2 linked regions of the Drosophila melanogaster genome follow. The protein of the gene in region 2 interacts with the protein of the main gene of each other region in a pairwise test. Each region holds a gene or a part of one and is shown on either strand. Other genes may lie near its edges.

Region 1 (3,866 bases), on a different chromosome or scaffold from region 2:
CTCATTTTGGCCAATTGGTCTATTTGATGGGAGAATAATTAGATGATTTTATCGATAGTAGCACGATGGTCAGTGGTTTTTGGTGCAGAAGTCGGTATTTATTGATGTTTATGTTGCGGGATGTAAGGCACTGGGAAAACCTGAGAAAACACTAAAGCTGATTCTTTCATTACAAATAGAGATGCACATCTGAAATGTGTGTTATCTTTGTATGGAAACAACATCGATAAATACATCGTGTCATTTGTCGTGTCATCGTGTCAGCGAAATAATATTCGCGACAAGAACATATTGTTTAAGGAAAATAAATGCGTCTTTCGTTTCTTCATTTGCCATCATATTTTATTGAGAATACGAGTCATTAGGTGGCCAACAGAAACAAAATCTAGAAAAATATGTCTTTTTTTTCAGAACAAACCATTATATTTCCGTCTTATCTGGTACATACCAAAGACACTAGAATATTCTAGTGTTATTCTATTCTATTCTATTATTATTATTCTAGTGTCTTTGTACATACTATATGTAGTAGCAGACTGGCTCTGCTTAGCAACAATTTGTAATAAGCAAGTGCATTTAATTTTCTCTACTATGGCATTGTTATATTTTTTACTATTTGTATCGCATAAACGTTTTTTAAATTAAAAAAAAACAAAACTATTAGTTCGTCTTACAGTATTTATCCGTTTTATCATTCGATTTGGCTAAAGGTATTAGCTATTTTCGAGCAACAGTCGGACGAATTCCATAATTTTTATTTATCTTACTAAATAAATAAATAAATTAATCAATAAGTAACGCAGGATTCATTAGATAAACAGTCAATAATTAAGTTCCTATAAATTAATCTTAAAGACTATTCAGCGAAGAACGCTAGGTACCCGAGATTGCTTCATCAAGCCCTTGGATCCTTAGCTCAGTCCGAGGAGGATCCATCGCCGTGGGTAGCCTCTTTTTTCCGGTTGAAGAACTGGAATGTCTTGTAGGCGGCGAACGCAAAGAGCACGGTTCCTCCGACGGCGCACATGAAGGGGAGCATGTCTGGCGTGGGCTGGGCGAAGGTCGCAGCAGGCTCGTCATCACATTTGAGACCCTCCTCGCCGTGCTGGTCGTATATCTCGCGCTTTTCCTTATCAAAGAGCACTTCGAAGGCGGCCACCACCTCCCTAAACTGCTCCTCGGCCTGCGGATGGTCGTTCTTGTCCGGATGGTAGCGGAGAGCCATCCGGCGGTATCCCTTCTTGACGTCTTCGCTGGACGCATTCCTCTCGATGCCCAGAATCTTGTAGTAATCCTTACCCATTGTGGTGAAATGGTATTCTCCTTGTTCTGGCTGAGATGGTCGTCTAGCGGTGTTGCGCCGTGTATGGAATGTGAGGCAGCGTCTCGACTTGTTGGTGCTTATGTGGTAATGCGAGTATATATTGCTGATTCGATTCGCTGATTTAAAACATTATTACAAATAAACAGTCAATCGATAAATTATCGGCCGCCAGTGGCCAGAGTGACCCTACCTTACCACCAGAAGCACTGTTAGTTAACAGAAGAGATTCTGACGATCGTAGCAGCTGTATAGGAGCACTATTAGCCTATTAGTAATTAATGATCTGTTAAATCTATCTTTTTTGAGTACTTTAAAAGGAATTACACATTTCGAAAATAGAAAATATTCATATCGCTTACCGGTTTTGGTATTTTTTCAGACCGTGCGGTATCTTATTCGCCATCGAAGCGGTCACACTGGGTGCCGCCGCCAACTTCACTCTTTCCGTTCTGTGAGCGAAAACCGAAAAGTCTGTGCTTTGGTAAGTGTTGCTAAAAGTTCGGAATAATGTTGCATCCCGAGCATTTTCGGGTACATAACTGTTCCACGGCGGTGGTCCAGCAAAGACTAATCGTTATCACGCCTTTCGCAGTTCTTAAATTCACCCGACGAGTCCCTAATACACAATTAAAATGGTTAGGGAGAACAAGGCAGCGTGGAAGGCTCAGTACTTCATCAAGGTTGTGGTAAGTATAGAACCTTATAGAATTCGCTCACTAGCTGGCGCCTGGCTTATGCTGTTAACTGATCCCTCCTCCAGGAACTGTTCGATGAGTTCCCAAAGTGCTTCATCGTGGGCGCCGACAACGTGGGCTCCAAGCAGATGCAGAACATCCGTACCAGCCTGCGTGGACTGGCCGTCGTGCTTATGGGCAAGAACACCATGATGCGCAAGGCCATCCGCGGTCATCTGGAGAACAACCCGCAGCTGGAGAAGCTGCTACCCCACATCAAGGGCAACGTGGGATTCGTGTTCACCAAGGGCGATCTCGCCGAGGTGCGCGACAAGCTGCTGGAGTCCAAGGTGCGCGCCCCCGCCCGTCCCGGCGCTATTGCCCCTCTGCACGTCATCATCCCGGCGCAGAACACCGGCTTGGGACCCGAGAAGACCAGTTTCTTCCAGGCCCTGTCCATCCCGACCAAAATTTCCAAGGGAACAATTGAAATCATCAACGATGTGCCCATCCTGAAGCCTGGCGACAAGGTCGGCGCCTCCGAGGCGACACTGCTCAACATGTTGAACATCTCGCCCTTCTCGTACGGTCTGATTGTCAACCAGGTCTACGACTCCGGCTCGATCTTTTCGCCGGAGATCCTGGACATCAAGCCCGAGGATCTGCGCGCCAAGTTCCAACAGGGAGTGGCCAACTTGGCCGCCGTTTGTTTGTCCGTGGGCTACCCCACCATCGCCTCGGCCCCGCACAGCATTGCCAACGGATTCAAGAATCTGCTGGCCATTGCTGCCACCACCGAGGTGGAGTTCAAGGAGGCGACCACCATCAAGGAGTACATCAAGGACCCCAGCAAGTTCGCCGCAGCTGCTTCGGCTTCGGCTGCCCCCGCGGCCGGCGGAGCTACCGAGAAGAAGGAGGAGGCCAAGAAGCCCGAGTCCGAATCAGAGGAGGAGGACGATGATATGGGTTTCGGTCTGTTCGACTAAGCTGGATCCCGATTGCAGAATGCCCTCTGCGGCGCCCGCGAACCATCGCTTCCGCTTTCGGCGTTTACCCACTAAGACCCTTTGTTATGTTTTCTATGTGCAAATTATTGCCGCGGTTTGACGGACCCAATGGCGAGTTGCATTAAACATGCTGTAAACTGCTCGAAAGCGCACTCAACTGTCTTTTAAACTTGCACTCGAATCGGGATAGGTGGACATGGTGGGATTAGGACTCCAAAATCCAAAGGCTTCCCACTTTTCTTCATTTCCCTTTAAATATCCGAGCGACGGCAGGTACCGCCTGCAGCTGCTCCCGGTCATCCGGATATTTACAAAGTAATTACTTGCGATAAAATGAATTTCACAAGATGAGAAAAGTTTAAAGTTTCTGCTGCCGTTGTCGGCTGCGACTTTTGCGATTTCTTTTGCTTTTCGCAAAGGACATCGTCGACGGAGGAGAGACGCTCATAAAAATTCAATTTGTCTTGACAAAATACGCAAGAAATTAAGAATGTGCCAAGTGGCGGCAAAAGAAACTTTCCTTCCCTTTTTCCCAGTTTCCTGCACATTTCTTGCTCTGCTCGTCTGGCGAGCGAAAATGAGTTACGCGACTGGGGCGTGAAAGTGCCACGCCCTCGCGGCGATGTGTCGCGCCTGGAGTGCTCAAGGGGGGGGGGGTGGCGGAAGGGTGGTCAGGAGATGGGAGCTGGGGAAGCAGTAGCCGCGGGCCAAGTTAAACACTGCATAAATAGCCGGACCGAAATGAAAAGCCCTGACGAAAATAAATCCTCCGCAGGCCTCTTTGGACCTCAGAGATGGGATCGTGAGCCACCTCGGAAGTAGTTGGGTCGTGTCATAGGTTATCCTATAAGATTATACCCT
Region 2 (3,137 bases):
TTTTTTCATGCTGTCTCATCGTAAACAATATCAACATTGTTAAACGCTTTTAAATTCTCTCAAAAAATGAACCACACAGCAAACAAACCTCGACAAATCGGATTCGACAGGCAGTTCTCAGCGGACGTGAACGGCGTTCCCACGGAGATAGTGTTCCACTGCTTTGCCAAGAAGTGGTTCTTAGTCATAACGCAGCTCGGCAAGATTCCCGGCATCTACAACGTGCACTTCGATGTCAAAAAGGACGAAAGAGTGGTTCCCTATTTGCACGGACCCGTGGACAATCCGGAGTTCCACGTATCGGTGCCAATCACGATGAACTGCTGCTTGGGCTTGGACACCGACGAGACTCGCAGCGCCATACAGTTTCTGGTCAACAGAACCGGACTCCACAAGTGCCCGACGGAGTTCGTGGTGGGCTTGGGTCTCAAGAAAATCGACGGACCCAATCTTCGTGCCCTAGCTAAGGTCCTCGAGGAGACGTTATTCTAGTCTGCGTTCGTTATATCCAATAAATATTAGCTGTGACAGTTTTTGTAAAAAAAACCTTGAACATTTTAATCGTAGCCTTCAACCCGGCTGACCAAATTATTGGCCATTCTACTGCAACCTCTTTCATGTGCTTAAAAACCCAAAATAGAATCTACTCACAAAAAGGCAGTGGAATGACCAATAACATAGTAAACCATAATAATTCTGCACCGTTGTGAAAGGAATGAGTCTCGATAATTTTTTAGCAAACGTCTTCTATATTTCCTCACATTTGTACATTAAAAACGTGTACGCAGGTCGGGAAACGGGTACACGTCCACCTCTCGAGGATTACAGCACAAACACAACGGATGTCCGGTTGTCGAGAAGTTCTCTAGAGGATTTAGTCGAACAGACCGAAGCCCATGTCGTCGTCAGACTGGTCGGACTCCTCCTCCTTCTTCTTCTCCTCCTTCTTGGACTCGGCGGCTGGAGCAGCGGCGGCGGCAGCAGGGGCAGCACCACCGGCGGGAGCGGCACCAACTCCGGATCCGATGTTGGTGATCAGGTCCTTGACGTTGATGCCCTCCAGGGCCTTGGCGAAGAGACCGGGCCAGTAGGGCTCCACCTCGACGTTGGCGGCCTTCAGGATGGTGTTGATCTTCTCACCCTGGTGAATCCAAAAAATAAGATCAGCACAAGTTGCAGCAGTGCGAAAGAAACCATAGGACCCGCAAATTGTCCAATACTTCCGGCCGATGGCCGCGGCTTTGGAGGATTTGCTTCGTCCCCGATTGCAATATCGAAAAACTTACGGTGACGGCGACATCGTCATCGACGAGGATGAGGGAGGCGTAGACGCAGGCGAGCTCGGCTTTGGTGGACATGTCGAAGTGCTGTGGCTAATCACTGATTGTGCAAGTTGCCAAAAATTAATTGTTTATAACAAATGGCCTTAGCTCGGGACGAGAACAAGCACGCTGGTCAAAATCCTAAACCGGAAAGAGCAGTTGATATGCAGTGTGACCGCGCCGATGACGAAGAAAAATACCAACCGTCTATGAAAATTTGCATATTATTGTCAGGAAATACTAGGTAGAGGAAAACTCGTTCAAACTGCCGAGATTATCTCTTATTTAAACTAGTTTATTTTTAAGCATCTTGGACAGAAGCCTTAGCATAATTCTCTGGTTATATGTTTATCTCTCTATTTTAATAAAAGACCTTTCCGTACGGTTATTGAGAATATTAAAAAAAAGATATTTTGGTATAATGACGAATGAGTCACACTGCAACTTTATGTATACAATTAGTGTGCCCATAGCGTCGTTTAAACGTAAACAAAAAAAAAGCGCGCGAAAATGTCGGACCAAGAAGACGTAGTTGTAAAAAAAGAAAAAAAATGTATAGAAAATATTGATGAGAACGACGAAGAGCCCGATGATGTAGATTTTAAGGACAGCGGAAAAATAAGCTCCTTGAAGGCCCTGGGTCCATTTATAGCCGGCAAGGAGAATAGCCGCAACACGGTTTACCTCAGCGATGTTCCGGATATTTGCAAGGATAAGCCGTGCATGCTGGGCGTGGACGAAGCAGGGCGTGGTCCCGTCCTGGGACCTATGGTATATGGGATCTCCTACTGTCCACTGGAAAGTAACAAGGCTTTAGAGGACCTGGGATGCGCCGATTCCAAACAACTAACCGAGGGGAAACGTGATATCATATTTAACGATATCAACACCAAGGAATATGCGACCAGTTGCGTTGGCTGGGCCGTGGAGATCATATCGCCGAACACGATCAGCACCAGCATGTACCGGCGGTCGAAGTGCTCCCTGAACGAAGTTTCCATGGACTCGGCCATGGGCCTTATCCAACAGGCGATCGATGCGGGCGTCAATATAGCCGAGGTTTATGTGGATACGGTGGGTCCGCCGGAGAAGTACCAGGAGAAGTTGCTCAAACGTTTCCCCAGCTTTAAAATCACCGTGGCGAAAAAAGCTGACTCCACCTATCCAATAGTCTCTGCTGCTAGTATATGCGCCAAAGTTACCCGTGATCATGCCCTCAAGGTGTGGAGCTTCCCCGAGGGCTTGGTCATTAAGGACAACGAGTTCGGCAGTGGATATCCGGGAGATCCGGTCACAAGAAGATTTCTGACCGAGTACATCGATCTAGTGTTTGGATTTCCACGACTTGTGCGCTTCAGTTGGTCCACCGCGGAAAACGCACTGGCGGACAAGGCCTATGACATGGAGTTCGACGAGCCGGATTCCGAGAAGCCCAAGTACGCCGGCACCAAGCTCACAAAGTTCTTTAAGGGCACAACAAAATCCGGCGAAATAATTCGCGAGGAGTGCCGCTTCTTTAAGCAACGCCATCTGGAAAGTGTCATGGAGTTTTAGCAACAAATGAAAATAAAATTAAGTTCAGGAGTATCTATATTTACAAAGAATAAAGTTTAATTTAAGTACTTTAGTATTAAATTTTAAAATGCTAAAATACAAAAAACACCCAGGCCCAAAACGAAAACAGATTAATTTTTATCTTTAATGTATTTTTGCTGATGTTCTTGTGTTTCCGCCAATCTCGTGTTCTTAATAATTACGTTCGATTACTGACTACGTGGGACTGCAGTTACACTGTTCTGAATGTATGCGTGAATC

Evidence for each region. Proteins that work in one complex are often made in the same cells at the same time.
Region 1: the proteins of RpLP1 (region 2) and RpLP0 interact in binary tests that used the Drosophila melanogaster proteins (3 or more experiments, as listed by UniProt).

What each region holds. Positions count from the first base shown.
Region 1 is NT_037436.4:22,074,332-22,078,197, forward strand, and holds RpLP0 (ribosomal protein LP0), read left to right. Parts: upstream 1-1,535; 5' UTR 1,536-1,595; intron 1,596-1,703; 5' UTR 1,704-1,805; intron 1,806-1,916; 5' UTR 1,917-1,956; coding exon 1,957-2,010; intron 2,011-2,084; coding exon 2,085-2,984; 3' UTR 2,985-3,156; downstream 3,157-3,866. Other genes in the region: CG7133 (uncharacterized protein), read right to left, coding at 1-5; CG7130 (uncharacterized protein), read right to left, coding at 917-1,303. UniProt on the Drosophila melanogaster protein: Ribosomal protein P0 is the functional equivalent of E.coli protein L10.
Region 2 is NT_033779.5:418,296-421,432, reverse strand, and holds RpLP1 (ribosomal protein LP1), read right to left. Parts: upstream 1,482-3,137; 5' UTR 1,359-1,481; coding exon 1,287-1,358; intron 1,142-1,286; coding exon 875-1,141; 3' UTR 569-874; downstream 1-568. Other genes in the region: CG11885 (uncharacterized protein), read left to right, coding at 67-492; CG13690 (uncharacterized protein), read left to right, coding at 1,833-2,876. UniProt on the Drosophila melanogaster protein: Plays an important role in the elongation step of protein synthesis.